4 linked regions of the Diceros bicornis minor genome follow. The protein of the gene in region 3 purifies or fractionates together with the protein of the main gene of each other region. This does not show direct contact. Links are inferred from orthologs where the notes say so. Each region holds a gene or a part of one and is shown on either strand. Other genes may lie near its edges. The genes, in order: ARRB2, NOLC1, TCOF1 and ARRB1.

Region 1 (7,427 bases), on a different chromosome or scaffold from region 3:
AAACAGAAAGGGAAACCCCACTGCCTCCCTCAGACTCAGCAGGGACCCCCACGCCAGGACCTTCTCCCTCCCCAGCCTGAGAAACAGAGCTCACCCAGGATTCCTGCCTGGAGGCTTTGGGGCTTTGCCCAGCCCTAGCCCCTCCCACTTCTTCCTGAAGGAAAGGCAACCACAGGTCCTTAATATTTCCAACATGGCAGCCCCTCCAAGCTGGGTGCCATGGCAACCCCTCCCTGGTCCACCCTCACTAGTTCCTCTCCTCCCATGGCAATGGCCACTGGTTGCCACAGGAACCACCCAGGCTTTTCCCAAAGGACCTCCCCCAGGGGAACCTGAACGGCAGGTCGCAGCAATGTCTGTGTAAGACCTAACCCTCTTTCCATCTTCTCTGGTCTCCAGCTCCAATGACAGCTGGAGTACTTGGAAGAGCAATGGCCCTGGCCTTTGCCTCTCAAGTGCTCTACTGTAGGCACTACCTAAGTGTGACCCTACTCCATTAACCTCCAACTGTCCGCATCTCTGATCTCAGCAGCTTAAAAGCCTATTTGTCTTTCAAGGCCCAGCTCAGATATCACCTCCTTTAGAAAGCAGATCCAACCCAGACCCTAGTCACTCCTTTTTTTGGGCTTCTGTCACACCTTGTTTATGTTTTACTTGTGGTGTGATAGCAAACAAGGGCAGTTAGCTGTGTATCATCTGTCTCACTAGACAGACTGTGAGCATCAGAGGCCTTATTCACTTAGGCATCCCCAGCACCATGCCAGCCATATGACAAAGATGATGCTGGCTAACATTTATTGGGTGAATACTCCATGCTCAGCACTGTTTGAAGTGTTTCACCTAATTTAATACTCCTAATGACCCAATGATGGAGGTCCTAATATTCCTATTTTACAGTTGAAGAAACTAAGGTACAGGAGAGGTCAAGTATTTTGCCTAAGGTAACAGTGTAAATGGTGGAATTCACATACAAACAGAGGCAGTCTGGCTCCAAGTCCATGCATTCATCGCTAAACCACTATACAGTTGTCCCTTGGCATCTGCAGGGGATTGGTTCCAGGACCCCTGGGGATACCAAAATCCGCATATGCTCAAGTCCCTTATATAAAATGGGGTAGTATTTGCATATAACCTATGCACATCCTCTCGTATACTTTAAATCATCTCTAGATTACTTATAATACCTAATAGAATGTAAATAGCATTTATATTGTATTGTTTAGCCAATAAGAAAAAAAGTCTGTACATGTTCAGTACAGACACGACCATTGTAGGCCTTTAGATCCGCGGTTGGTTGAATCTGCGGACATGGAGCCCGCAGGTACAGACGGCTGACTACACTACTCTGCCTCTGTAATTGGCATCAGGTTTGTTGAATTGAAGGGGATTTGCTTCCCAGTTGCTGAAACAATTTAAGCATGGACTCCATTCATTGCTGGGATGGTAGTGAAGTGTCTAGCTACTCCAATGCTCTGGCCACTTGTGGGCTTGTTCTTTGCTGCACCACCTTACAATCCACTCCCAATCCACTCTGGCTCGGCAGTGATCTGATCCCTGGGAAGGGTCCCCAGATAGTAGAAACTGAAATCCTGCCAACTGGTCCATCCCTTCTCCAATCCCACCAGCCGTTTCTGCTATAAAAACTTCACTTGCCCCTTCTTCCCAGAAGCTATCCAAAGGCCATAAGGCAAAGGGTATGGAGGTCCTCAGGTATTCCCATTCAATAAAGGAGAGCAAACGTTGATATGGTGGCAGCTGGAATAAGCACCCCCCTCTTGTCCCAACTTGGGGGCTGGTTGCTATGGCATCATCCAGCTCTCTTCCCTCTTTGCTTCTGGTTTTCCTCTTTGTCCCAGTGTTTCTTCCTATTAGGAGCCCTGGCAGAGGGCTGCAACAGCTACAGTCAGTTGGCCAACCGGAGTGTGGCTTTGGAATAATTGCCTTGGAGCAGCTGCAGGGCACCTGCCCTTTGGATCCTAACCCAGCCAACCTCCTGCCAGGCTGAGGGTGGGGGAGCAGCATGTGTATACTGAGGAGGCAGAGTGTGGGGGTGACCAGGGAGATGCCCAATGAGCGGGGGCAGCAGAAGCAGTGCCCCCTCACACTTCCTGCTATTCTCTCCGTTTCCTGTGGCCCAGAATTTGATGGGGATGTGGGGAATTGTGCCAAGTCAGCAGTCCCCCTCTGGTCCATCCGTCCTCCTCCCTGAACCACATAACGGAAATCGGGGCCCTCCCTCAAGTTAGCGACTTCCCCTTTCTCTGGGGTGTTTAATCTCTAATACAGGACACTAATCTTCCTTCTGATCATCTCTTTCCAATACTAGTCGACTTGGTGCTTAGAAGCCTGAGTTCTCCTACTCTATGGGGGTGCTGATATGATAGTGTTTTGTAGAACGAGTGACAGCTTAGGACCAGGCCTCCATTCCTGATGCCCTCTGGATAGAGGCATACAACCCCAATCTTTTCCTCTTTTGCTCCTGCTCCCCAGGGACTCAGGCATTCACCCACTGGCCCCTTAGGGGTGTTGGGTCACAACAGGAAGTGGATTTTGCTAGAGACCAAAAAAGAGAACTCGAGCTGTCAGTGGAAGGAAAGAGCCTCGATTGCACAGAAAACATCCGGGGAGTGGATGGCGTGCCCAGGGCAGATACTGCCTCCCCTCACCCCCGGGAAGAGGGGTAAGGCCCAGAATCGGGGAGGGTCGCCGTGCACTCTGCTCCCTAAGATGAAGCTGTTGTTCCTAGCAACCCAGGGGAAGGCAGAAGTTTGGAAGCGGGGCCGGCCCTCGGGACGGTGGGGGCAGCCCAACTGCCTGTGGGGTATTGGACAGGAGGCTTTTCAGTGGCTCGGCACGAGTCTAGGGGGGAATCCCCCTCCCGGCATCCAGCTTGCCCATACCCGACCCCTTGGGACCGGCCACCTGCTCCTCCTTCCTCCGCCTCTGCATCGCAGCCTGCACCGGAGAACCCAGTCCTCCGGCCCCCACATCCCTGCGAGAACTCAGATGCCGGCTTCCTGATCCCCTCAGCCCTCGCTTTCTGCAGGGGCCCTAGCATGCATCCCCCTCATTATCCTCGAGGACCTAGGCGTGCGGCCCCGGATGGCTGCTCCCTAGGGACCCAGGCGTCCGGCTCCCGGATTCTCTCCCCGGTGTCCTTGTCTGGGGACCGTTCCAGCACCCGCCCCGAGCCGCCGCCCACGTCCCGCCGCGTGGCCCCACCTGCCTTACCTGGTCCCTGGTTTCTCCCCCATGGTGCACGCGCCTGCCGCCCGCCCAGTTCGCGGCTCGCTTGCAGCCTCCTAGCCCGCTGCCAGGTCCCTGCTCCTCCCCGCGCCACTGCGCACGCGCGCCCTCCGATCTTTCTCCTCTCCCCCTCCCCTCCCGCCCCCCCTCGGATCCTGGGGAACAGGGGCCTGATGCGTCAGCCCGGATCGCGCGCGCCGCGGCGCTGCCCGCCCTCTTCTCACAGACACCGGCGGCGATTGGCTCCGCCCCCGCCCCCTCTGCGCTCTATCTCCACCCTTCCCGAGGGATCTCTCCCCGGCCAGCGCTGTGTCTACTCCCTGCTCTTCCCGCCCATCTCTCCGTCCCTCCGCACCCCATTAGAAACTGCTTGGGCTCCCTTAAACGAAGCCTCCCGCCTGCCAGAAGATTACAGCCCTCTGATTGGCTCCCTGCATCCAGGGCCCTGCAGGGGTTCCCTCCCCTTTGTTTGCTTTCTCTGTGGCGGTGGAGGCGGTGCAATGAGCTCAAGCACAGTCGGGGAAGGAGAATGAGGGGATACACACGTGGGTGAGCGGTTCTAGTTGCGTGGTGCTTGCCTTAGTGCTCGCCGCTCACCCGCTCATCCCAGAGCTTGCAGCCTTCTTGGGATCGCCCTCCCACTTCTTTATTGTGGTGTGTCAGCTCCCCCTGGTGTCTATTTTTGATCTTCGCAGGGTTACTTTTCTAATTTCTCTAACTACCCATCTCCATCCACTCATTCCAACTAATACCCATCCATCCACCCATCCCTCCCTCCCTCCCTCCCCATCTATCCACCCACCCACCCACCCAGCCATCCCTCCCTCCCTCCCCATCCATCCATCCATCCATGCCTATTTTGTGCCAGTCACTGTGGTAGGCGATGGGGACACAGACATTAATTAACATGGCTCCAGCCTTCGTAGTATAGGTGAGGACACACATGAACTGGTATTATGATCCCAGGAATGCTATAATGGAGGTATGACTCAGAAGACAAAGCAACTACCAGCATTTGACTGGAGCGGGGGTGGAGAGAGTGCAGGCTGTACAGAGGAGGAGACATTTGAGGACAATCTTTCTGAATAGTGGGCAGAAGTTGAGAAAGGGTATTCCAAAGAGAGAGAAAGGCCAGGCACATCCTGTTCTGAAGTGCTTGTGGGGTTAGATGGCAGGAGAGAGAAGGCTGAGGAGACTGGAACAGAGTCAAAACAAAGATTTTGTATAGCAGGTGAAGGAATGAGACTGGGGCCCTGCCCTGGAGGAGGACACATGGATCCAGTAGTGGTTTTTTAAGCAAAGAAGTGGCATGATGAGATTTCTCTTTTAGGAAGATAGTTCTGGGCAATGTGGAGGGTGGAGGGAGTGGGGCAAGGCTGCTGTAGACTGAAACCAGTCAAGGGGAAATGATGAACGATAGAGTGGGAGGGAGAAGAGGCTGAAGAGTCATTTCTAGGGCAAAATTGACTGGACTTGGGGAGGGTGATGGATGATGGACATTTCTGGACTTAAGGAGCTAAAATATTTTTTCTTCTTCCATCTCATTTCCCATACTCCCCATCTTTCCCAAATGAACTAACTTCACACTTCTCCCTCCACTTTTCTATGCACACAAGACAGTTTCTGAGATCATCTTTAAGGTTCAAACACACACCTTGTCCACCAGCTGCCACCTCCCTACCCCTCAGTTCTATCACCACCTTCTAAGCTCACTCTTCACCCCTCTCAAGTTTTAGATTCTTTTCGACTCGTGAATCACTTTTGTCAAAGGGTCAGGATCAGAAGGTAATGAGATGTGTATTGCTACATATCTAAACTGCTTTTGGAACTGAAAGATAAGTGGTCTGTGTGGCATGAAAACAACTGTATTAAAAGATACTAATATAAAGACAACTTTAGAAAGATAGTAAAGGAGGCCAGAAAGAAGGAAAGATATACACCATATTCTAGGTGGGAAAAACCATCATTATAAAGACGTCATTTCTCTGCAAATTGTCTATAAATTTAACGCCATATAAAATAATAACAAGGGGCCGGCCCCATGGCTTAGCTGTTAAGAGCGCGCGCTCCGCTGCTGGCAGCCCCGGTTCGGATTCTGGGCATGCACTGATGCACCGCTTCTCCGGCCATGCTGAGGCCGCGTCCCACATACAGCAACTAGAAGGATGTACAACTATGACATACAACTATCTACTGGGGCTTTGGGGAGAAAAAAGGAGGAGGATTCGCAATAGATGTTAGCTCAGAGCCTGTCTTCCTCAGCAAAAAGAGGAGGATTAGCATGGATGTTAGCTCAGGGCTGATCTTCCTCACAATAAATAAATAAATAAAATAAAATAAAATAAAATAACAACGAGACTTTTTTGGGAGGAACTTGATTCTAAACATAATCAGAAGAATCAACTTTCAAGTATAGCCAGGAAATTTTTGAAAAATAAGAGTATAGCACGCATTTGTCTTACCAGATAAGATAATTTATGTTACAGTAATTAAAATTGTGTTATTGGTGCAATAATACTAAACAGAGCAATGAAACAGAATAGAGTCCAGATACAGATCCACGTGGTAGCATTTCGAGTCAATAGAGAAATAATGGCAGATTCACTAAATAGGGTTGGGACAATCAGCTATGTTTGGGGAAAAAAAAAAGTTATACCTCTATGTCATACCTTAAACAAAATAAATTCCAGATGGGTTAAAGATCTAAATGCACAGAGTAAAACTATGCAAGTATTAGGAGAAAATACAGGAGAATATTTTTATACTCTGGGAGGTTAGGAAAAGCCTCGGAGTATATCAAACCCCAGGGCTATAATAATAACAACTAACACTTTATAGTATTTACCATGTGCCAAACATTGTTCTAAGCACTTGACAAACATCAGTTCATTTTGTCCTCACAACCCTATGAGTTAAGGTTCTATGATTATCTGCTCTTTGCAGATGAAGAAGTGGAGGCACAGTTGAGTAACTTGCTGGCTCACATGACTAGCAAGAGGCAAAGCTAGTGTTTGAACCCACCAGTCTAGCTCCAGAGTCTGTGCCCTTAATCACAACACCTTATTTCAAAAAGACTGAGATTAAAAAATAACAAGTAAAATAAAAAGACAAATTGGAAGAAACCTCTTGCAACACATATAACAATCAAGAATAATTTCCCACACATACAAAGAGTTCCTACAAACTCATAAGATAGAGATGAACAACTCAATAGGAAAATGGGTAAAGGGTATGAAAAGTAATTAATAAAAAAGAAATACAAATGTCTATTAAACATATGAAAGTTACTCCATTTCATAATGATCAGGGAAAATGAGTTAAAAGAAGGAGATATTTTTCATGTTTCAGATTGAGAAATTCTAAAAAGATAAATAAGCCTAATATTGGGATGATATATAAGGTATAGAGCACTATTTTACATAGTGCTCCGGTGTAAACCTATGGAACCTTTCTAGAGGGCATTTTGCTAGTTCCTATCAAAATTAAAAATAGGCATCCTCTTTCATCCAATATTCATTTATTCACTCAACAAATATTTATTGAGCACCTTTTATGTGCCAGGCACTGTTCTAGGTAATGAGAATAAAATAGTGAAGAAGATAAGACCCCTCTCATGGAGTTTGTATTTTAGACAGAAATAGTCAATAAATAAGAAAATACATAAATTTTGAATAGTGCTGTAAGTTATAAAAAAAATAAGCAGGATAATGTGATAGAGGGTGATGGGAGTTGCAGTGGAGACTTCTTAAAAAGGAGCCCTCTCTGAAGATGGCAAGATGGTGTCAGTCATATAGAATCAAAGGAAAATTTCTCTAGGCAGAAGCAGCAGCATGTGCAAAGGCTCTGAGGTGGGAATGGGCTTGCTGGAGGACAGAAAGAAGGCTAGTTTGGCTCAAGGATAGGGAAAGAGAGGGAGAGTGATACATGTGGTATGTGTTGAGGTCAGAGAGGTGGGTATGGGTCAGATCATGTAGATTCTAGTAGGCCAAGGTGAAAGATGGGATTTCATTCACATCATATTTGGAAGCCACTGAGGGCTTTAAGCAGGGAGAGACAAGGACTGACTTACATTTGCAAAGACCACTCATTGCTGTGTGGAGAAGGGACTACAGAGGGCCAAGAGGGAATCAAGGAGAGCAATGAAGAGGTGGATGGAAGAGACTATCATAAGAGGCCAGGGG
Region 2 (8,469 bases), on a different chromosome or scaffold from region 3:
TGAGCCAGAAGCTATAGATGTCCAAGAGGGAAGAGGCATTGGCGTCCTGCTGGGTCTGTAGCAGAAAAGAGAAAGAGCTGAGTAAAGAAATTTTATCCTGGTTATTGTAGGGGAGATTAGATTTTGTGTTATTCTCCCATTAAAAGTGACCTGTTTTATACCTGCTATATTTGGTATAAATGTTACATCATTGTAAGAGTTCTCCTACTTGCATAAATTAGGAGAAAAACATTCTCTTTACGTATTTCCCAATTTTTGGTATCAAAAACTTGAGCTATTCCTGTAGTTTCTGGCACCATCTATCCCCTGCCTACCAATCCTATTTATCAAAGCCTTTAAAAATGTGCATTCTCTTTACTCTAGCAATGTATTATCTAGGAATTTATCCTTACTCACAAAACAAGGGCACAAACATTTATACCAAGAGGGTGTGTTTGCTGCAATGTGGTTTATAATACCAAACCTTTGGAAACTAGCCTCCAAGAGAAGACTGGTAGAAAGTTATATTATGTATTCAGCACAGAATCGCATTCAGCTATTAATTACACTAACATAAACTATTTTTTTTATTATTTTTTTAATTATATTTATTTATTTATTTTTTCCCCCAAAGCCCCAGTAGATAGTTGTACGTCATAGTTGCACCTTCTTCTAGTTGCTGTATGTGGGACGCGGCCTCAGCATTGCCGGAGAAGCGGTGTGTCGGTGCGCGCCCGGGATCCGAACCGGGGCCGCCAGCAGCGGAGCGCGCGCACTTAACTGCTAAGCCACGGGGCCGGCTCCATAAATTATTAATTGATGCAAAAAAAATGGCAAAGCGGGCCGGCCCCGTGGCTTAGCAGTTAAGTGCACACTCTCCACTACTGGCGGCCCGGGTTCAGATCCCGGGCGCGCACCGACACACCGCTTCTCCGGCCATGCTGAGGCCGCGTCCCACATACAGCAACTAGAAGAAGGTGCAACTATGACGTACAACTATCTACTGGGGCTTTGGGGAAAAAAAAGAAGGAGGATTGGCAATGCATGTTAGCTCAGAGCCAGTCTTCCTCAGCAAAAAGAGGAGGATTAACATGGATGGTAGCTCAGGGCTGATCTTCCTCAAAAAAAAAAAAAAAAAAAAAAGGCCAAGCATTACAGTACACGTAAAAGCACAGGCTCAGAGATAGACGAGTATAGATGTAAAACTCACCTTCACCAATTACTGCGTGATCCTAAGCAAATTATTTAATCTTTCTGAGACTATTCTCTATAAAATGAAGATAATACTATACATCTTATTAGGTTGAGAAAATAAGAAATAATGCACATAAAGGGCTTACTATCTGGAAACAGCATCTGGCCCCTTAGTAAGCCCTCCACAAAGACTAGTTTTTGTCACATGAAAAAGAATCCTGGGGGGCCAGCCCTGTGGCTTAGCGGTTAAGTGCGCGCACTCCACTACTGGCGGCCCGGGTTCAGATCCCGGGCGCGCACCATCACACCGCTTCTCCGGCCATGCTGAGGCCGCGTCCCACATACAGCAACTAGAAGAAGGTGCAACTATGACATACAACTATCTACTGGGGCTTTGGGGAAAAAAAAAAGGAGGAGGATTGGCAATAGATGTTAGCTCAGAGCCGGTCTTCCTCAGCAAAAAAAAAAAAAGGAGGATTAGCATGGATGTTAGCTCAGGGCTGATCTTCCTCACAAAAAAAAAAAAAAAAAGAAAAAGAATCCTGGGGGCAGGCCCTGTGGCGTAGTGGTTAAGTGCATGCGCTCCGCTGCTGGCGGCCAGGGTTCGGATCCCAGGCGCACACCGATGCACCACTTGTCAGGCCATGCTGTGGCTGCATCCCACATAAAGCAGAGGAAGATGGGCACGGATGTTAGCTCAGGGCCAGTCTTCCTCGGCAAAAAGAGGATTGGCATGGATGTCAGCTCAGGGCTGGTCTTCCTCACAAAAAAGAAAAAGAGAATCCTGATTCTGAAAGGCCCAATTCCATCTAGCCCATTGTGGAAACACTCTTTGCAGCCTCCCTAACAGTCAATTCAAAACAATTCCAACACAAAGGCAGTTCTATCAGATCACACGGCAGGCTGTCCCAGCTTAAGGAAGTCCTTTCCGAGGCCGATCTAATTCTCTCCTTTTGCAGCCTGATTCTGCCACAAAGAACAAGCCTATCTTCTTACTGAAAGGCTGAGACCGCCAAAGACTACCCCTCTGCTACTCTAAGTTCTTTCAAGGTTTCTTCCCATGCAATCATGTCTGCTTTTCTTGAGATGTAGTTTCCAAATCTTTCACATTCCTGGTCTTCTTTTACATGTGTTTGGAACATCCTAAATTTCCTGAAGTATGGTAATAGCTTTCACTCATTGATGCCTCCTGAGCACCAGGCACTGGGATTGCGACTTTGCGTGTATCATGTTACTGAAACTCACAAAAATCCTATGAAGTGGAGGATGACATCCCCATAGAAATAGGAACAGACTCCTAGAGGTTAAGCAAGATGCTCGGGTCATACATCTTAAAAGTGGCAGAGCCTGGTCTCAAACCTAGATTTGTTTGATTCCAGATGTCAAAGATCCAAGCCCACCGCTACGCCTGCTTATGATGCTCAATTTCGTTTCAGTACAATTAAAAGCAGAACTCTGCCTCTACTCTCGTTCATTTTCTTCTTTACTAACGAAAACCCCAGCCTTCATTTCTAAAGCATTTCATTTATCTTCGAGTTCCGGGTAAATTCGAGAGTTAAGGTCAAGTCACGCTTTACATCAGCCAACATAAAGCTCAAATAAGGAACCTGGAGCCTCCAATGCTCCCGTGGGACACCGAGATCCCTCCTCGCCGCACTCTGCCGGCCACGTGACCTGGGCCACGAGGGTCCCACGCTGCAGCCGCTGAACCGCTCACCAGAAAAAAGCAACAAAACTCAGCACTATCTAGTCAGACCACGTGTAAGAGGAGGTGCCGAGACTGCCGGCGTTCTCCGGTCACCGCCGAGAGCTCGGCACAAAGGTCCCGCAGACACTGGGCTGGCGCACCCCACAGATCTCCCTACCCGCAAACCTAAGCATGTCAGGGCCCAGAGCCCTGTGGTCATCCCACCCCAGCCCATGCCCCACGCCCGGGACTCACAGCGCCTGTTGCCTTGGCGAACTTATTGGCCACCTCCGAAAGCTGGTTATCCCGCAAAAAGCCGAGCACAAGGGGATATAGGTCGCTGGGAACCACGCGGCGCAAGCCGGCGTCCGCCATCCTCCGGGCAATACGCGTCACTACCGTTTCCGTCGCACACGACTCAGGAACTCGGGAACCCTGAGGCTGGGGGCGGGCCCGTGTGACGCCATCGCGCCGCGCGGGCGCACAGCGCAAGAGGAGGGCGCACTCCATAGGGCGGTCCCGCCTCCAACTCGGAGGCAGGGTCAAGGCGAAATCTGTAAGCTCTTTCCGGTCCCACGAGCGTCGCCATCTTGGTAAGGGCGGAGCCCGCCGTCCACCACCTTGTGAAGGCGGAGCCCTGACGTCAGAGGTCACGTCCTCGGCCGTGGCGGGAAAACTCTGCACTTCCCGCGCCCCGTCTTTCCGCTGGAGGCACCACTTCTCAGAGCAGCGGTTTCCAGCACCCCAGCTGTGATTCATATTCCAGAGCAATCAGTGGACCGGCGGGCTCGAACTGTTCTTGGACTCTCAGACTTGGTCACAAGATCTCCCAACCGCCCCCATTCGCGCTGCCAGTGGATTCCCACCCTTCATCTTCACTGCCTCCAACACCTAGGGAGGCCCTTTCTCAGAGACCACCTCAGCCTCTGGACTCCCACCTCCACTGCAGAGGATCCTTCAGATTATCCGTGGTAGTAGTGGGGCGTTGATCCCCAAAACTCCCCTCCCTCAATCATGACTTGCCCATGAGACAACCCTTTCCTTCCTTATTTAGCCTTACTTCAGCTCCATGAAGGGAAAAGGGGTTGTGCACCAAACCTGAGTGACAACAGCAGCAATTTCTTCAAACCTATAGTCCTGAAAATCACCCTTCTACCTCCTGGGTCACAGTTCACACAGTGAACTCTCCCTGTGGGAGATGCAGAAAACCCCCCCAACTGCCTCTCCCTTTGCTATGAGTACTGAAATATCAATGCCTGGGCCTGCCAAGTTAATTCCAAGTTCTATCATATTTCAGTTCACATTGGCAGACAGCAATCCCTTCAATTCTACCCACTACCCCTTCACTACTTCCCTTTAATGCCCCTCAGGAAGGTTAAGTAAGGATCCACTTTCTCAGGGGACACACCTCTCCTTTGCCTTTCTCAAAACAGGCATTCCCCTCTCCTAGATAAAACTTCTACATCTCCCTCTTCCCCAGAGGTCTATCCACATACAAGCATTCTTTAAACATCTGAGCACCTGCTGTGTGCCAAGCAAGCATTGTGCTCAAGCTAAAATGGTACATGACACACAAGCCTTAGAAAACCTTTTATTTAAAAACCTCTACTGGGAACAAGTATGAGCTTCCTCTAGGTCCTTGATATTAAAATCCCTTCCTGGACCAGTAGCATCAGCATCCCCTAGTTTGAAATGCAGAATCTCAGGCCTCACCCTTGAAATCAGCATCTGCATTCTAAAAGATCTCCAGATGATTCAAACGCCCTTTTCAAGTTTGAGAAGCACTGCCCTAGATAAGTGATTTCACTGACAACACACTTGAGGAGCCAAGTTTCAAGTCCAATAGGATTTTGCACTTGACCAAAGAGGGGTCCTAGGAACTCAATGGAGGTAAGCATGTCCCTGATTGTATTCATAGAGGACAAGTGAATATGTCTGGCACCAGCACCACAGAAAGAAGCACAACAGCACTTGGGAGTTCTCTCTAGTCCACGTTTATTAGTCTGAATAGTGACTTAGATCTTCCAAACTTTGGGGGAACCCCTCAACCCCATCCATCTTACATAGGAATGCAAGTTAACTTGTTTCAATGCTTGCTATAAAAAACAAATACCCCTTTAAAAAATCTGATTTAACACATTTTTTATTTCACTTTTTTCCATTTCTTTATAAAACAGTCATCTCCTCACTAGCAGCTCTCTCCCCTAGAGTGGGGGAGGGGGATGGAGGAGGCTGGGCACCTCCAAAGAAAAGGGGGAGGGGGAGAAGGGCCCAGGGTTACCTCCTGAGGTTCTTCTGGGCCTGTTTCAACAATGTGTCAAAGTCAAGAGAATCAAATTTGCTCTTTACAGGAGCAGGGTCAAAGTCTTCCCGGTTGGAGTCTATAGAGGTAGAGAGAGACAAACATCAAGGTCTTTGACCATACTTCCCAACCACAGGGTCCTCAAATGGCCAGCCACCTCCCATCCCAGTAATGGATGGAGCTAAAATCACCCTGATTTTACGTCAAAAAGACAGAAGAGCCTCCATTTCTCCTCTCATCCCACCCCTTAGGTTCTTCGTGTGTCAGATGAAGACAAGTCTGCCTAGCCCCACTGTCAAAAGGTTGGGAATCCTTCTGGAGAGGCGATGAAATATATCAAAGCCTCAAGGCCTCCCTCTACTCACCAAGATCAGAGTAGCTTCTCTTGCAGAACTGCCTGCGGCCCCCAAAGCAGAGATCAAAGGGCTGCTCATCTGCCTGCCTCAGCTTGTGGCCACTCTCGATGGCTGCAAATGCCTCCTCAGCATAGCGGTAAGTGACGAAGCCATAGTTGTCACTGGTGGGGAGGGTGAGGCAGGGGCTGGGATGGCTATCTGGGCACATACCATGGAGAAGAAACAGCTCCCCAGGGTACAGAGAGGGACTGGGGTGGTTCTTCTCATTCCCCAAATGGCCAACCCTCTGTAGAAATGAAGGTGTCCTATACTTCCCAGCACACCAGAGCAAGAGGGAAAGACAAAGAATCATCAAGGTAGATGAATGGGACAAGAAAGGACATCCTGATCTTAGGGCCCAAGCTTACCCTTGGACACGGAAGTGGATGGTGCACTCCTCAATCTCTCCGAAAACAGAGAACCTCTGTTTCAGCTCTGACCGAGTCATGCGGCCAGGTATCTTCCCAATGAAGACCACTCTTCTCTCTTCCTATGTTGGGTCAAGGAAAAATGACACACTGTGAGCCAGGGCCACAGCTGCAGATGGCTCTCCAAGTTCATGGCTCAGGGGCAAGCGTCCTCCTCCTGTTCCCCTACTCACTATTGCACGCTCCTTCTGCAGCACTCTCTGCCTTTGGTAATGGTCATGCGAACGATAAGAGCTGTACCTGACAAAAGAAGAAGGTGCCATCAACCCCCCAGACATAAGACAGCTCAAGTCTCAGAATTCTCAGGCACTTGCATCCCAGATGCACTGACTCCCTGAATACATGCTCACCGCCGCCTCCTGTCACTTCTCCGGCGCGGGGATGGGGAGCGGGACCGGCTTCGGGAACTGGATGATGAGGATGAGGAAGACGAGGAAGATGAGGAGGAGGAAGAGGAAGAGCATCTTCGGGATCGTCCAGAGGAACTGCAACTGGACCTGAAGAATAAATGGAATGCTGGGAGTGGTGCAGGTATATTCCACTTACCTCACCTTGGCCCCAGCCCTGTCTCCCTATCAGGAAGCTCAGGACCAAAGGGAAAGCAGAGCAGAAGAGGTCTAAAAGAACTCTTCACAGCTGACCAAATTGAGGTCCTCATGAACTTTAGATGTATCTGGAATGTTTTAGAGTGTTTTGGCACAGACCATACTTATTTTCAGTTATGCAATTAAAAATGAAAAATATTTAACAAATCAGAAAGAAGAAAAATAAATGGAGACCCAGAGAGATAAAGGGCTGGGCCCTTGGTCTTACAACTAGCTGGCGGTGCCAGGCCTGAGTCTCTGGATTCCTGCTCCCCTAATATGTCTCACAGGAGTACTGTAACCATGGCATAAGGGGAGACTGTGCTAGACCTGTAGTAGAGGCCATTTCTGAAGATATACTTCACTGTCACAAGCCAAGAATTCTTCACTGATTAAGTAGGAAAATTTGTGTCTGTTACTGAGAAAAAGGTACTGCCGGAAAACAGATGAGGCCACAGTGACGCCCAAAGGAACTGTCTCAGACTCTTTCCTCAACAGATGATTAAAGGAAGGACTGTTTGCCATTAACAATCCACTATCCCACCTTTCCACATACCACCTCAGAAATGAGGACTGATACAGTATGCGAAGAAATTAACATGGTCAAGATCAAACCTTAGCGGTCTCCCCAAGGCAGGTCTCAAGGAAGCAGGAGACCTCAGGGATACCCTAAACTCCAACAGGGGATAGAAGCTATCTTCTCAAGCTTGGATGACGCTTGCCTCCTCCAACAATCCAGGAAAGGGGGAGAAGAGAGAAATAGAAGCCTTAGTGCCTGAAAGTATTAAACTCAATGTGCAAAAGCTTTTAAAGTAAACCAGAAGAGAGTACATGAACTTCCTAAATGGAGAGGACCTAACAGGCCATCAGAGCTCACCTTCGCCACCTCTTGTGTGGGGGGGAGAGGGACCTGGACCGGGATCGGGATGAGGAAGACGACGATGAGGATGAGGAGGAAGATGCTTCGCTGGTCCGGTTGGACCCAGAGCTGACAGAACGGCTGCTGCGGCCACGGCGGCCCTGCCAGCCCCGGCTTGAGGGGCTGGCTGACCTGCAGGCTTTTCGATAACAGCGCACTGACCGCTGCTTGGCTGAGGGCTCAAGGGGAATCCTAGTGTTCATATCATTCCGGCAGGGCGAAGCCTCAGGGGACAGCAAGGCAGATGGGGCAAGGCAAGGAGCTGGGGGATCTGCCTGCTCGTTGCTAGTCCTGTGATCAAGTGGTTCCTGGGAAGCAGCTGTGCGTGGGGGCAGGGGGGCAGCTGGGCCCAGGGACAAGACAGGTTTGATGGTGATATCCTGGTGGCGTTTGACGTTCCATCGGGAGCCCACCTCTGGAATGACTAGGGCAGGTGTCTTTTTTGGGGGGGTCCTGCTCCGAACACAATAGTCATGGTCCCCAGAGCCCACATGGACTGGACTAGGGCCATGGACCCCTTCTTGGAGACGGGCTGCAGGTGGATGTTTGGCCTCTGTAACTCCTTCAGGCTTCAGGGTTCCCTCCTGGGCGGTGGACTTAGGAGATTTGGCTTTGGCCAGCAGTGAGACAGCAGCCAGGGGCTTCCATAACTGGTGGGGAGGGGTAGCTGGAGGGGTGAGCCCTGTGAGGGGAGGGAGGATGGAGATAGCAGGATGAGATCCCATTCTACACTTCTAAACACTGCGTATATAGGCTCCAGAGACCCCCACCTCATCTCACAAAGTACACCAACAATGGTCAACAGCCGAACTTCTTCTACTGTTGCAACTACTACTCCTCCTGAGTTCCCCATCTTGGGGACCAGCAATAGAAACTCAGCCAGCTAGGATCCTCCTGAACCCCTCAACCTCTCACTACCCAAACCTAGCTGGTGACCACGTCCTGTCTGGTCTACCTCTCCATTTTTAGACCCACCCCTCC
Region 3 (8,490 bases):
CTTGGGGTAAAGACACAACTTCTCATCACGGGTGATCAGGCCTCACGTGGGGTGGGCCCTGCCGACTGCCTGGCCTTGTCTGTACCGTGCTCGTGGCAACAGGCCTCAGCACCAGCGGTTCCCTCTGCCAGCGACATTCCACCTGCCTCTCCATCCTACTGCCTAGTTCACTCTCCGACTCCCTGCAGCTCTCACATCAAAGGTCACCTCAGGGCAGCCTCCCCTAAACCCCCAAATGAGGCTAGGCTAAACTGTTTATGAGGTTTCGGCACCAGGTCCCTCTTTTACATAATCCTTACTACCACTGTAATTTTACATTTGTTTGTTTCATTGTTTGAGGCATGCCTCCCTCCCCGACTCCAATGTGAGCTCCAGGACAGAAGGAACCATGTCTGTCTCACTCACGACAACATCTCCATACTTAGAACAGGGCCTGGCATTCAGTAGGTACTCAATAAATGTTTGCTGACTAAATGAATAACAAGCTGCTGAAAGCTTCTGTCCTTCAAAGACATTGATTGCAGCTCTCAATATCCTCTCCGACTCACATCCATGTGACCTGGCTTCCCGGGGGTGATAATGGCGTCCACAGTGGGCTATAGGGACAGATTAGTATCCCAGCTTATTCCAAGCCGAGAGCTCGGCGTGTCCCTACTCCACTCCTTCAGCCCCAACAGACTTACTGTTGCCAGTGTGTGTAGATGTCCAGAAGGGTTACAGGCTGAGTCAGGAAACTTTTCTGCAAACAAGGAAAGAGAAAACAGCAATTAACGCTCCAGCACAGTAAGGGTCCTCCTTGGGCCCAACTCTCCACGACCTCCTTACCTGCACAGACAAGCGGTTGAGAAAGGGGTCTTTTTGCTTTGGGAAACATGTCTGCTTGGCCCTGCCTGTACCACTCAAACCTTCCAGAGACAAGCGGGACAAGTATTTCCAGCTAAAACCTTTTAAGACAACATGTTGGTGAGAGGTACCTTTGACCGACTAGAGCTGGAATCTTCCAGGCTAGCATTTTTCCAGCCCCCAGCCTCCCTGCCACTCTCTATGCTTAGAGGCCACGAGACAGGGCTTTTTCTACCTCTGACCTTTCAAAAGGCTTTTAAAGGCCAGGCTGGTCAATCTCCCCAGGGCAGTACAAACCACAGCCCAGACACCAGAGGCATCCGGGTGGCATGACTGCAGTCCACTCATCCACTGGGAAAAGACTGGAACCAAATGATGCCAGTCCCTTGGTAGAAGCAGAGGGAACCAGCTGGAATCTAGGCCTTTGGAGCCGATGCCAGAGGGCCCACTCTCGGTGCAAATGTCAAGAACCTGGGTGTTAAGTGCCCCAAGGAGGCTGAGTGAACAATGTGGGGCAAGGGCAGTGTCAGGGGGTACAGAGTGGCCAGGAGGGTGCACCTGGTGTCAGGCAGAGCTCCTCTGTTAACTGGCTGGACTAATCTCTTCACCTCTTCAAACTTCAGGTTCCTTCTTTATAACATGGGGACAACGGCAGTACCCACCTAGCAGGTTGCTATCAGGCCTGAATGAGACAACCTGGTCAGCGCCCCCAGCACATGAGCCAATAACACAGAGACTGCGAGCGTCAGTTTCACTCTACTGCGACCCAGGCCCACTGGCCTCCTCACTGTCCCTCAAACGTCTCAGGCCACCCGGCCCCCATCAGGGCTTGCTATTCTTTCTGTCTGGAATGTTCTCTCCTGCTAACTACACAGCTCACTCCCTCCGTTCCTTCAGGTCTCTGCCCAAATGCCACCTTCTTGGTGGGGCTTCCTGACCATCCTATTTATAACTGAACCCTAATATTCCTTATCCCCCTTGCCTGCCTTATTTTTATAGCTAACACCCACCATCACCCGACACACTATATCATTCGCTTCTTTTTCCTATTTGTCATCTGTCTGCGCCTGCTAGAATGTATGCTCCATAAGGGCAGGCTACTTTTGCCTAGGCAAATGTTCCAACGAATGGGCGCTGTCTCCTGCCCCTCTTAGCTGTTAAGGGATATAACTGGAGTAAGAAGGGCAACTGAGGTCCAGAGAGGGCTGGGAAAAGCATAGATAACGTCTTAGGGCTCATCACCCTTTAGTCTCCCTGGGAGGTCCTGAGAGCAAGCATCAGGACCAGAGCCTACACCATATTGACTAATCAGGCCAGTGTCCACCATACCAGCTTAAAACCTTTCAGTGGCTTACCACTGCTCTTTAGATGAAGCCCAAATTGCCTACAGTAAGGCTCCAGCCAGCTCCCCCACTATCTTCCCAGGGACCTCTATCACCCTTGTACCTCACACTTAAGCCACAACAAGCTCTACTGAGGCCAGTACCTACACAAGTTTTCTCCCACCGCAGGGCATTTGCACCTCTGCCTGGAATACCTACCTCCCCTCTCTAAGATCTCAAATCAACATCCACTCCCTCAGGAAAGCAGCCCTGGCTATCGCTGACAAGGGCAATCTGCCACCTCTGTCTTAGCACCCTATGCCTCTCTTTCTTGGCACTTAATGTAGTGTTAAGTGTACAGTTATTTTGGGGATTCTTTGATTTATGTCTATCTCCTTTACTAGACTTAGATTTTGTTAGTTCTAGGAGGGCTGGGGGACCGTGTGCTCTGAGCACCAGGTGAACAGTTGCTGTAAGAATCAATGGAGTAAGAAATGACTGCACCACGAGTTCGAATCCCAATGCTGTCCGACTCAACACCGAAGGACTGCTAAGGGCCTGAGCTCCAGCTCAACTGAGGGGACACAGGCCCCTTCTCCCGGCGCTCTCCTTCGCCCCCAGGGGCTGGTCGCTATCCATCCCTCAGACTCGCAGCAACCTTCTCGCCCGAGGGGGTCACGCGGAGCCACGTGGCCCGAGATTTAGGAAACTTTAAACTGCCGCCACCAGGAAAGGGGTGGAGGTACGGGGCGCGGGAATTACAAAACCCTGCGCATCCGATCACAGGTCCCGGCCCGCCCACTGCACAGATGGGAAACTGAGGCCCAGAGGGACTGGGAGCCGCAGGAGGGAGCAGAAGCTGCGGCTCCTTCGGCACCCCTGGCCGCGTCCCCGAGCACCGCGGGATCCAGTTCCGGGGGCCCGCCAGGCAGCCAGGACAGGGGGTGCGGGCCGCCGCTCTCCAGACCCTGCACGCGGCCCTCGCACACGGCGCGCGCCGCTTACCTGGCCGCTCTGCTCCTTCACTTCCCGCGCCGCGCGCACGTAGCCCGCCTGCAGCAGATGCTGGTAGATCAGGGGAAGCAGCTCCCGCCGCTTCCTGGCCTCGGCCATGCCAGCGACCCCAGGCCAGTCGTCTCACCTGCACGCCCCCCTCAATCCCCGCCCGCCACTTCCCGCGTGCCCTTAGACCTCGCGCGCCCCACTTCCGGCTCCTCGTTCGCCGGAGCCGCGCGGCACGCCGGGAAATGTAGTCTCCTGTAGCGTGATCGGCCCCTCCCCGGCGGGTGAAAGGGGCGGAGACTCGGAGGGCAATGAGATTTCCCATTGGCGGGGAGAGGGCGTGGTTAGACCTGGACCCACCCCTGGGCCGGCCGTGATTTGGGTAACTCCCTCTGAAATCCTTCAGACTTGTTCCTTGAAGAGGTTAGTCTTGCTTGTTAGCTCTCTGATGGCTGCGATCGGGTTTTACTCATGTCTGAACATCCTCATCTGCATCTCTCTCCAGACCCAAACTTCCAATTACCCACTCATTTATTCATTTCACACTTTTTTCAGGCACTATTTGTCATCATTCATTCATTCACTGAACAAATCATTATTGAGCACCGTACCTTGGGCTAGCGCTCAGTTAGGATAGGGGGATAAAAAGATGAATAAGCCATGGCGGCTGCCCTCAAAGCTCACGGGGACAACAGAGATAGTCGGTGCTTTCTGTGCTTTCTCGGGGATAGGCACAGCCTATGTGAGCAGGGAGGAGGGGCACCTAACCCCCAAGAGACGTTTCAGTGGAGGCTTAAAGATGGAATAGGAATTTCTAGGTGCAGAGAAGAGGACTGGCACCCCAGGCAGAGGGCACCTCCTGAGGGTAGACAGGAGAAGCCACGGGGCATAGGCCAGAAACCCAAACATAGAACCCAGTCTGTGCTGCTGGGCTATAGAGTTGGGGGGAAGAGGGAACCAGTGAGGACACAGGAGGATGGAGAAGTAGACAGGGCCTACAGCATCCCCTCCCCCAGCAGAGTTTTTGCACTTTTGCTCCAAGGGCAATAGATAGTCTCTGACTGGTTTAATGCAGGAGGGTGACCTGGGTTTATGTTTTTAAAAGATTACTATGACCAAAGCATGGAGGATGGATTTGTGGAGAACAATACTAGCTGTGAGGCTATCGTAGTTGTTGAGGCGAGGTTGGCAGGGAGAGGATGAGAGAGGCTGGAGAATATTTGAATCAGCTGTTCTTTTTTTTTTTTTATAATTTTATTTATTTATTTTTCCCCCAAAGCCCCAGTAGATAGTTGTATGTCATAGTTGCACATCCTTCTAGTTGCTGTATGTGGGACGCGGCCTCAGCATGGCTGGAGAAGCGGTGCGTCGGTGTGGGATCCGAACCCGGGCCACCAGCAGCAGAGTGAGTGCACTTAACCACTAAGCCACGGGGCCGGCCCTGAATCAGCTCTTCTTAACTTCATGGCCCTGTTGAGAATCTGAAGACAGCATGAACCACCTAGCCTTTACTGTAGAAAATTTTGAATGTGTATGGATACATAACATTTTCCATCCAATTTCAGGACAGAGATAAGCACGTACCTGAACCTCCTAGGGTTAGGAACTGCAGCTCCAGGAAGAAACAGGACAGGATGAGGTGACTGATTGAATGCAGTGAGTAAGAAAGAGGGAGAAGACTAATCTACATTCAGCCATTTAGCAAATATTTATTGAGGGCCTACTATTGGGGATGAAACAGTCTCTACCCCAATAAGAGCTTACAGTCTAATGGGGGAGAAACGTGCTAAACGAATAGTCATACCAATACATTGTTACAAACAGTGAGCAAGTGCAGAAGGAAAAGGATAGTGTTTTCTTATGGAACAGTAGAGTGTTTAAAAGCTCTGCTGAAGTCACACTGCCTGGGTTCAAATTCTGGCTTTGCCTCTTATTAACTAGGTGACCTTGAGTAAGTTACATAACTTCTCTGTGCCTCAGTTTCTTCATCTGTAAAATAGAGATAATTATAATTTCTACCTCATAGAGTTGTCATGAGGAGTAAATGAGTTCTAAGGAGAAATGCGCAGGTGAATTCCCAACAACAGTGCTGTGCTTGTATGTGTGTGAGCCATTATTGGGAAAGCATTAACAGGAAGGAGGGAGCTATCTTTTCTTGGGGGTTAGGGAAGGGTTCCCTGAGGAAGTGATATTTGTGAGGAAATCTGAACTATGTGTAGGGGAGGATGGTGGTGGGGAGAATCCTGGGCAGAGGAAAGAACCTGTGCAAAGGGCCTGAGGCAGAAGGTATAGCTGAGAGAAGAGGTGAGAAAAGGCCCTTGTAGCAGGGCCTAGAGTGAAAGCAGGGGGACTGGGGAGTGTAGAAGGTGGGCAGAGCCAGATTCCACATTAAGGATCTTTCTCTTCATCCTAAAAGTGAAGGAAGCCACTGACAGTGTGGGCCCAAGAGGAAGAGAATGATATTTGAATTTTAATGTGACCTGTGTGAATGCCCAGTGGAGAGTGGAATACTAGTGTATGAGTAGATGCAGGAAGACAGGGTTAGGAGTGCAGGCAGGCATCCAGGGAGAATAGAATGGGGGTGGCACTGGTGGCAGTGGAGCTGAGAACTGTGAAAGGTTTCAAAGTTATCAGGAAGTCAAATTGTCATAGAGATGTGCTGGAATGGAGGGTAAGGAGGGAGTGTTAGGATGGACTCTGAGCTGTCTGTGCAAACAGGCAGGCAGTGACTTTCACTGAGATGGGGAAAACAGGAGAGGACTGGGATGGGGGCTGAGCAACAAGGGGAGGGTGTGGAGGGGACATGAAAAGTGCAAGTTCCACTTTAGACACGCTGAGCTTGAAATGTCTTTGAGACACCGAGTGCAGATGCTGAGTAGGCACTTGGAAGCCTGGGTTTGGACTCACATGAAAATGGGAAGTTGTCAGTAGAGAGATGATAAGTGAGGAGAAGAACATGGAGAGAAGAGAAAGTGGCCCAGGCTGGAGCTCTGAGGCACACCCACAGGTTAGGGCTGCAGAAAGGAGGATGTGCCTGCACAGGCTGAGAAGGAATGGACAAGAGAGGTAGGAGAAAACCCAGGGAGTGGGCGGAGGGCAGGAAGCCAAGGGATGAGTTTTGGGAAAGTGGGAAGTGTCCATGCAGACTGCTCTGAGAGTCGGATGGGATGAGGATAGAACCATGGGCCTTGGTTTACTGACAGGCATGGGGATTGTCAGTGGCTGTAGGGAATGCTACTTCTGTGGAGTGACGGAGAAGGTCAGATGGCAGTGGTCTGATGAGAGAAGGAAGGATGAGGGAGGCAGTGGATCTTTTGAGAAGTTTTTGTGTGAAGGGGAGGAGCGAGATGCCGTGACAGGGTCTAAGTGTGTGTTGGGGGGAAGTGTGCTATAAGGTGGAGAGACCTGAGTTTGTTTACAGGCTGATGGCAGATCAAGCCTGAAGGGGAGAGAGATTAATTAAGGGTTTAGGAAATAGGGGAGATAATCATCAAGTGATGTGCACGAGCATGTGCAAGGGGATGGGATCAGGCGTGTAGGTGGAGGGGCTGGTCTTGGAGAGGAGGAGGGATGACTTCTCTAGAACCAAAAGTAGGAACAAAGAGAGGATGGGTGCAGATGTAGATGTAGGTTTGTAGTGGGATGTTAAGGGAGATTTCATCTTGAGCTTCTATTTTTTCTGCAAAGTGGGAGGCAAGGTCTTCTGCTGAGAGCGAGGAAGAGGTGGTGAGGAGTTTGAAGGAAGGAGGAGAATGAGCATTCGGAGAGTGGAGGAGCAAACTGGCCCACAAACTCCCCGATTGCCTGATAGTGTTGACAACCCAGTTGAGGTTGGTGACCATTAATTTATGTGTCCTGTCCTGCCAGCTGTGTGATTTCCCCCTTCACAGCTCACCTCCTCAGGTGCAGGCAGGGGGAAAGTACTTAGAGGGTTTACCCAGACCTAGGGCTTTGCCAGATGGGTGGAAAAAAAAGGAACAGTGTCTGAACTGTTGGCAAAAATGGTGCCTAATCTCTGGACCCTCGGATCTAGGCTGGGTAGGTGGGGAATGAAGACAGATGGCGTCAATTTTCAGGGAGAGAGTGGAAGCCTTTGCGTACTGGGCCGCCACGAGGCTGCCATGAGCTCCCAGGTTGCTGATTGGGTGGCTGGATGGGCCACTCACTGAGAAAGCGAACAGGGTGACGAGCATACAAATCATTGTAAGATGGTCAATTTTTTTTCACCCCTCCGAGAACCAATTTTTACCCTCCGTGGGGGCGTTATTGCCCCGGTTGAGAATGCGTTCCTTATAATGTAAACTCCCTGAAGGCAGACTCCTGGTTGTCTTGTTGGCTGCGTTATCCCCAACTGCAGTCAATAAACGTTGGCAAGTGCAAGGGTGGTTATAGCCTGCTTCCTGAAGAAGAGAGGAGGGCAGGGCAGGCAGGGCGCACACCGTGAGTATAGGGTTGGAAGCAGAAATGAGGAAGGCTTCTAGAAGGCAATGGAGAAGGAACCGTGTTGTGAGTCCTTTGCTGACCTTGGAAGAAATGGAGAACTGGTATTAAATTAAAAAACAAAACCAGGATGGTCTGATATCTTCTGTCTGGCAACACGTTGTTTATTTTTGTTTTGTTCCTAATAAAATTCATTTTAGGCACTTATGCTTTGTCCTCGGCTCCTGGGAGGCTGCCTCTTCTGTGGACAATTTCTTTATATCCTTGCTTTTCCAAATCATACCCTTCACTGAATTGCCTCGGGGCCCAAGCACAAAATTAAAACATTAAACCGATAAAATATAACATGGCAACAATTAAGACAGCAGCAAACAAAACAGCGCATTAAAAAAAATTAGCCTCAGAGCGTTTTTCTACCAGTTAAAAAAAGATGCATTTGTTAGTGGTAGAAATCAGAAGCTTCCAGACCACTCAACCTCTGAGCCCCTCTCGGGTAAGCAGCATGCCTTAGTCATCTGGAATTCTCAAGCAGGGCACAATGAGGGCATTCGGGAAATGAGTGAAGGAAGGCCCGTCATCAGAAGAGAAGGAAGCTAAGCAGGTGGGGTGCTAAAACCTTCTTTTCCCAGCAGAAGTGGCTCCTGCACAGAGGTGGGAGGTAGCATGACACAGGGGAGAGGCTACTGGGCCGGAAGTCAGGAAAATATCTTTTTGGCCTGGCTCTGCTGTGTGACCTGGGCCAGTCTCTTGTTCTCTCTGATCCTCAGCATTTCTTTTGGTTTGAGCAGTTGGACAAAGGCCCTTCCAGCATTGGAACTCTCAAGAGAGGGATTCATCTGGGAAGGCTGCCCTTGCCCCCAGACCTAGAGACCGTTCCTTCTCC
Region 4 (7,434 bases), on a different chromosome or scaffold from region 3:
AGGCTCCTGCGGGCCATCCCTCTGCAGGACCCAGGACAAGGGGCCCAGAGTGACTTTCAGGCACCAACCAAGCGTTGAGAGCAGCAACAGTGCCGGCATAATCAGATCTCACCATCTTCGCCGCTGCCCCCACCCAAGCCGCACTGTCGCCATTATAGGTCTCCTGGGCTCCGGCCACGGCCCCTCAGTCTGTTCTTCCCAGCAGGTGGAGAGAGGCTGTCAGGATGTCAGTCGTACTCCGCCACCCAAACTCCTCCTGGCTGGCGCAGGGAAAAGCCTGGAGTGCCTGTAAGGTCTGGAGGTTGCCTTGCCTCCTTTCCCTCCCGCATCACCTCCCGCTGTTCTCCCTCACTCCTCCAGCCACATGGCAGCTTGCTGGGGTTCCTCCAACACACCAGGTCGGTTCCTGCCTCAGGGCCTTTGCTTGAGCAGTCCCTCCCCAACAGCTCTGCTTGCCAGCCCCCCCCACCCTTACATGATGAGGCCTCGCCCTGTGCCTACTCCCCACTCCCACTCCTGCCCTCGCTCCACTTTTCCTTTTCCCACAGTGCCCACCACTGTCTAACCTACTACATGAGGGGCTTGCTGACCACATTCACGCCTATCCACTGCTAACGTGTCAGCTCTGAGGGCAGGGATCCTGTCTCTTTCGTTCACTGACGTGTCCCAAGCCCTAGAAGGGCACACCTAGTGGGTGTTTAACAAAGACGTGTTAATGAATGGTAGGGAGCAAGCACTCAATAAATATTAGTTGAGCGAGTGAATGAATGAATGAGTGAAGGAATCAACTGAGAAACTGAGGCCCAGGAAAGGGAAGGGATTGCCCGTGGCCACAGCAGAGCACTGGACATGGGGTCAGGCAGAGGCATGGTCCCCACTCCCGCCAAGCGCTCCCTGCCTTCCAGAGCACAGTGCAGCCTCCTCCAGCTGGGTGTGGGAGCCTGAGACCCCCTCACCTAGCGCCCATCATCTAGCCCCAGAATTGCTCAGGGTAATGTTGGGAGGGAGAGAAGAAAAGCGAAAGACAGCGACAGAGACCCTGAGGATAAGAGAAGGTGTTAGAGGAGGGAGGGAAGGGAGGAGAGGACAGGGATGCAGGCCCTGGAGGTGTGACAACAGATGAAAAAACAAACAAACAAACAACAAGAGAGGGTGAGGGAGATGCAGCAGACAGAGCATGGAGCAGGCCCACACGTAGCTGAGAGGAATCCACGCAGCCCAAATCCTTCCCAGGAGCAGGAGGTCCAGCAGGCGTCCAGGGCAAGGCAGGGTGAGGCCACAGTGTCACAGTGACAGTCGCTCCTCCAAGGAGGCGAGTGGGTGGTGGCTCTGTGCTGCCTCCATAGCCCACCCCCGCCCACACCACCCCCTTATTTATGGGGCCCAAAGGACCACGGATGGGTCTGAGCTTGGCTTGCAAAGAAGGGCCTGGCACTGCCCTCCCCAACCTCCCCTAGGAGTTCTGGGCTTCTCTCCTCCTCATAAATATTTATCAGTGTTCGCAGTGTGAAGATGCCACAGTCGGCTGGGGTGTAATAATTGCGAAAGTGAGAAAAAATACAGATCACACAGTTTGAATCAGCAGCTCCCCCGCTAGGGCTGGGCCTACAGAGGAGACCAGAAAAGTGGCACAGGCCACAGGGACCCCAGCTGCTTCCAGAAGCGTCAGTCTACCCTCGGGAGGCCTGGGTCTGAGGGAGAGGAGGGGACACAAATGCCTGAAGCCACAAATAACCGAGTCAGGGAAAGCCATTCCAGTGATCCTTGAGAGGAACACAGGAGGGGGCCAGGGCCAGGCTAGGAGGAGTGATAATCAAGGAAGGAGGGCGGGAGGTAAGAAGGACACAGCATTTGCTGAGTGCCTATTTAATTACTCTCCCAACAGCACTGTGGAGTGGGCATTATAACCCCCACTTTATAGATAATGAACCTGAGGTTCAGCGAGATGTAGTAATTTGCCCAGGAACACAGCAAACAGAGGCTAAGTCGGGATTCAGACCCAATTTTTTCTGTCTGCCTCCAGAGGCTGGGTCTTTATATCCGATCCTGCTGCTGTCCTAAAGCAGGTGTTTTTATCAACATCAGGATAACAGAAAAGAGGGGAAATGAGGACAGGAGAGGGGAGGGGAGGAGGAAGAAATGAAAGGGCGGCTAAGGGGTGAGAAGGAGAGGAGGGTGACAAGGGGCAGGAAGCATGGCGAGCCATGGGGAACATCCTGTCGCTAACTCCACCAGCCCCCAGGGCCACCTCCTCAGGAAGCCAGGATGCTGATGGCTTCCTCAAACAACCAGAGCAGCTGCCCAGGCCGCTGAGAGCGTGTTCCGCCCTAGTCAGGTCTCTAAGTGTTTTTCCCAGAACGTTGCTGATGCTTCAACAATCCCATGTCAGAGATGAGGAAACTGAGGCTCAGAGAGGGAAACTGTGGCTGCCTGTCTCCAGAGCCCATGTGGTTTCCACTCTGTCGCACAGCCAAGCCCTCCCTGAAGCAACTCCACTGGCTTCCTGACCCCAGGGCTGTCAGACAAAAGGCACCTGGGGGGTGCTTCCGGTTCCCCGGCCCCCTACACGTGCAGTGCCACACAGATAGCCTCTGCCTGTCCACTTTGAGGAGCAAGCACAAACATGCAAGACTGTGGTCAAAGCCAAGCTTCCAGACTGTGGGACGGTGCGGTTGGTTCACCCCAGAGTCCCATCTATGCCCCACGAGCCTGATCCTCAGAGCCAAAGCTGGGCCCCATAAGGGAAATACCGGTGGCATTCTAGCTGATGAAGGCTCACCGGAGAGACGGAAGAAGCCCACCAAGGGTAGCTCAAGAAAAGGAGGAGGGGGTATGACAAGGAGGCAAAAATCTCACGGGAAGGACGCGCAGGCAGGACGCATGGGGGCTGGAGCCAGGAACGGGGAAGCCATCAGCCTCTCAGGTGGTTGCTGTCTCTCTCCACCTCTCCCTCAGGGGCTGCATGTCTTCCCGGCTGCACGGCTCTCTGTGCGGCTGCTCCATTGTCTCTGTGGACCAACTCCCTCTGCTTACTCAGTGCTTTTCCACTCCTCCATCATCTTGGCTTCATGTGGCTCTCACTCCGACCTTGTTTCCACTCTGCCTCTCACTCAGCTCCCCACTGTTAACTGGCTGAATGGCCCAATTCCAAATCCCAGGAGAGGAATTTGATTGGCCAGCTTTGGTCAGGTGTCCCACGCCTGGACCAATCAGCTATGCCTTGGAGGTGTCATGTGGTCCATGAGGCATGGGCAGAAGAGGGTCTGTAAAGCAGTGTTTTTCAAACCAGGGGTTATAACCCATTAGTTGATAATGAAGTCAACTTCAAGAATTGCCACCAGCACTTTGTTCTTGTTGTTGTTTGCAATAGAATAGAAGATATAAGCATGAGGTGCAGATGGCAAGGGTATGGTAGATATTACGATATTTACCAATATTCTATTCTCCTCCAAGGCTGGACATATGAGTGGATCAAATTTCTCCAGTCCTATGAAGTTAGACATACCTATGTGGCTCGCTCTGGCCAACGAAATATGAATAGAAGTGCCACATGTCACTTCCAGGCAGAAGCATTTAAGGGCTGGTGCATGATTCCCTAGGCCCTTTGTATTAGTTTTCTATGGAGGCTATAACAAATGATCACAAACTTAGTGGCTTAAAACAACATAAACTTATTATCTTGCAATTCTGCAGTTCAGAAGTTCAAAATATACCTCACTAGGTTAAAATCAAGATGTTGGCTGGGCTATACTCCCTTCTGGAGGCTCTGGGGCAAATCTGTTTCCTTGCCCTCTCCAGCTTCTAGAGGCCACTCACATTCCTTGTCTCATAGCCTCTTCCTCCATCTTCAAAGCCAGCAACAGCAGGTTGAGTTCTTATCACATTGCATCACTCTTACCTCCTCTTCTGCCTCCCTCTTCCAGTTTTAAAGACCCTTCAGGATACATTCAGCTGCCTATTTTAAGATCAACTGATTAGCAACCTTAATTCAATCTGCAACTGTAATTCCCTTTTGCCATGTAATATAATGTATTCAAAGGTTCCAAGGGTTAGGAGGCAGACATCTTTGGGGGGCCATTCTTCCACCTACCACACCCTCTTTCCTCTGCCACTGAAACCAGCAATGATCGGGATGGGGAAGCCTCCAGCAACCTGAATCCCAGGGCTCTCCTGCTAGGTGATAGACATGTAGCATGAGAGAGAAAGAAAGCTCTCGAGCCACTAAGATTTGGGGGTTGTTTGTTAGTGCAGCAGACCAGCTTCTCCTGCCTGATACAAAAAGTAAGTATTATTTAGTGAAAATTTTGTTTCAGGTGAAATGAGTTACAATGTAAAATAAATGTCATGCTGCAAATTTTTAAATGTTTAAAATCCACTGTTCTAGAAAAGGAAACCCTCATGCACTGTTGGCAGGAATGCAAACTGGTACAGCCACTATGGAAATCTGTATGGAGATTTCTCAAAAAATTAAAAATTGAAATACCATGTGACCTAGCTATTCCACTACTGGGTATTTATACAAAGAACTTGAAATCAACAATTCAAAGAGGCTTATGCACCCCTGTGTTCATTGCAGCATTATTCACAATAGCCAAGACTTGGAAGCAACACAAGTGCCCATCGACTGATGAATGGATAAAGAAGATGTGGTATATATATACACTGGAATACTACTCAGCCATAAAAGAAGACAAAATCATCCCATTTGCAACAACATAGATGGAACTTAAGAGTATTATGTTAAGTGAGATAAGCCAGACAGAGAAAGACAACCACCATATGATTTCACTCATGTGTGGAAGATAAACAAATACATGGACAAAGAGAACAGATTAATGGTTACCACCAGGTAAGGGGGTTGGCGGGAGGGCATAAGGGGTAAAGGGGCACATATATACGGTGACTGACAAATAATAATGTACAACTGAAATTTCACAATGTTATAAACCATTATGACATCAATAAAAAATAAATAAAAAAATAAAGAGGTGAGATATTAAAAAAAAAAATCCACTGTTCTAGAGAAACATGCCTAAAATAAACATGCTCTATCAGTGTCTATGCAGCCTGTTGGATCCTGTGTTCTGATTCCACTCCATCAGGGTGGTGCTGCCAGGTGGGCTGGCAGGTCAGGTCTCCATGAACCAGAATGTTGGCTTCTCTAGTGAGCCCATTCCCCACCTGCAGCATGGGCTACCTGTTGGTCAACTTTGACATTAATATTCTGCTGCTCTTCTGGGAGCCGCCAGTCCTCCCAATGTTCATTTGTGCCTGTAGAAGGTGGTCTGCACCATAACGGACCCAGAACAAAGTACCTTCCAAGACAGATCCCCAACAACCAAGAGTTTATAGTTCTGTATAGTACAGCCAAACAATGGAATAGTACATAGGATTGAAATTATGCTTGCATCTTTCGTAACACAGGGAAATGCCCATGACAGAATATTAAGCAGAATAATTCAGGAATCAAAACAGTATATTTGGCATGAACTCAACTTTATACTCAATAAATACCCAAAAGAAAGAATGAGAAGACTTAGCACTAAGATGGCAATACTCCTCAAACTGATCTATGGTTTCAATGAAATTCTCACCAAAATCCCAGCTGAGTTTTTTGCAGAAATTGACAGGCTGATCCCAAAATTCACATGGAAACACAAAGTACCCAGAATAGCCAAAACAATCTGAAAAAAAACAGAACAAAGTTGGAGGACTCAGACTTTCCAAATTCAAAACTTACTACAAAGCTATAGTAATCAAGACTGCCATGTGATACTGGCATAAAGACAGACATGTAGATCAATGGAACAGAATTGAGAGTCCAGAAATAAATGAATATATTTATGGTCAATTGACTTTTGACAAGGGAGCCAAGAGAAGTCAATGGGGATAAAACAGTCTTTTCAACAAATGATGCTTGGACAACTGGATATCCACATGCAAAAGAATGAAGTTGGACCCCCTACCTCACACCATATACAAAAATTAACTCAAAATCGATCAAAGATCTAAATGTAAGAGCTACAACTATAAAACTCTTAGAAGAAAACATAAGTATACATTGACATGATCTTGGATAAGGCAATGGTTTCTTAGCTATGACACCGAAAACACAGGCAATTAAAGAAAAAAGTAGATAAATTGGACTTCATCAAAATTAAAAACTTTGGAGCTTCAAAGGTCACTGTCAAGAAAGTGAAAAAACAACCCACAGAATGGAGAAACTATTTTCAAATATTTGAAAATATTTGAAGAGGGCCTAGTACCCAGGATATATAAAGACCCTATTATGATTCAACAATAAACAGGTAAATAACTCAATTAAAAATGGACAATGGATTTGAATAGACATTTCTCCAAAGAAGATCTACAAGTGACCAATAAGCACATGAAAAGATGTTCAACATCATTAGTCACTGGGGAAATGCAAAATAAAGCCACAAGGAGATACTTCACACTCACTAGGATGGCTATGGTCAAAAAAGACAATAACAAGTGTTGCCAAGGATGTGGAGAAACAGGAACCCTCATACCTTGCCAGTGGGAAGGTAAAGCAGTGCAGTCACTTGGGAAAACCGTTTGATAGTTCATCCAAAAGTTAAATATAGAGTTAACATATGACCCAGCAATTCCATTCCTAAGCGTATATCCAAGAGAACTGAAAACGATGTCCACACAAAAACTTGTACAGAACTGCTCATAGCAGCATTACTCATAACAGTCATAAAAAGTGAAAAAAAACCCAAATGTCTATCAACTGATGAATGTGTTTTTTCAAATGTGGCATATTCATACCATGGAATATTACTCAGCTGTAAAAAGGGACGAAGTACTGATTCATGTTACAACATGGATGAACCTTGAAAACATTATGCTAAGTGAAAGAAGCCAGACACAAAAGACTATATACTGTTTGATTCCATTTACATGAAATATCCAGAATAGGCAACTACAGAGAGACAGAAAGTAGATTAGTGGTTGCCAGGGGCTGGTGGGAGAGGGAAATAGGAAGTGATTGCCAATGGGTAGGAGTTTCTTTATGGGGTGATGAAAATGTTCTGGAATTAGATAGTGGTGATGGTTATACAACTGTGTGAATATACTAAAAACCACTAAATTTTACACTAAAACTGAATATTATGGTATATAAATTATATCTCAATTTTTAAAAATAAACTAAAAACAAAGCAAAAAAATAAATGAAAGGAAAGGAACTGTGCCTAACTGTTAACGGGGGTTGAAAGAGACTCCATCCACCCACCTACTCACTTCTTTATAGCTCTTATTTTTCCGTGTTGTACAATGAGCATAAATTACTTTATAAAGATGCCAGGGCTTCCCTAACAAGATACAGTGAAAAGCGAGTCTGGGAGAAAATATTGTAAGTGAAGTAGAGAAAATATAGATCCTACGACTCTGAATCCTTTGATATTA

Evidence for each region.
Region 1: the proteins of TCOF1 (region 3) and ARRB2 purify together in Homo sapiens (affinity purification with western blotting; 4 studies listed by BioGRID and IntAct, with this or other methods). This does not show direct contact. The link is inferred for Diceros bicornis minor from reciprocal best matches to the Homo sapiens genes TCOF1 and ARRB2.
Region 2: the proteins of TCOF1 (region 3) and NOLC1 purify together in Homo sapiens (affinity purification with western blotting; 4 studies listed by BioGRID and IntAct, with this or other methods). This does not show direct contact. The link is inferred for Diceros bicornis minor from reciprocal best matches to the Homo sapiens genes TCOF1 and NOLC1.
Region 4: the proteins of TCOF1 (region 3) and ARRB1 purify together in Homo sapiens (affinity purification with western blotting; 5 studies listed by BioGRID and IntAct, with this or other methods). This does not show direct contact. The link is inferred for Diceros bicornis minor from reciprocal best matches to the Homo sapiens genes TCOF1 and ARRB1.

The regions. Positions count from the first base shown.
Region 1 is NC_080757.1:11,498,015-11,505,441, reverse strand, and holds the start of ARRB2 (beta-arrestin-2), read right to left. Parts: upstream 3,219-7,427; 5' UTR 2,991-3,218; coding exon 2,923-2,990; intron 1-2,922. UniProt on the Homo sapiens protein: Functions in regulating agonist-mediated G-protein coupled receptor (GPCR) signaling by mediating both receptor desensitization and resensitization processes.
Region 2 is NC_080745.1:67,168,081-67,176,549, reverse strand, and holds the start of NOLC1 (nucleolar and coiled-body phosphoprotein 1), read right to left. Parts: upstream 3,261-8,469; 5' UTR 3,236-3,260; coding exon 3,116-3,235; intron 56-3,115; coding exon 1-55. Other genes in the region: PPRC1 (peroxisome proliferator-activated receptor gamma coactivator-related protein 1), read right to left, coding at 5,138-5,241, 5,528-5,679, 5,926-6,047, 6,159-6,225, 6,336-6,482, 7,447-8,170. UniProt on the Homo sapiens protein: Nucleolar protein that acts as a regulator of RNA polymerase I by connecting RNA polymerase I with enzymes responsible for ribosomal processing and modification.
Region 3 is NC_080740.1:67,357,326-67,365,815, reverse strand, and holds the start of TCOF1 (treacle protein), read right to left. Parts: upstream 3,311-8,490; 5' UTR 3,279-3,310; coding exon 3,171-3,278; intron 740-3,170; coding exon 684-739; intron 1-683.
Region 4 is NC_080746.1:55,867,570-55,875,003, reverse strand, and holds the start of ARRB1 (beta-arrestin-1), read right to left. Parts: upstream 3,028-7,434; 5' UTR 2,913-3,027; coding exon 2,857-2,912; intron 1-2,856. UniProt on the Homo sapiens protein: Functions in regulating agonist-mediated G-protein coupled receptor (GPCR) signaling by mediating both receptor desensitization and resensitization processes.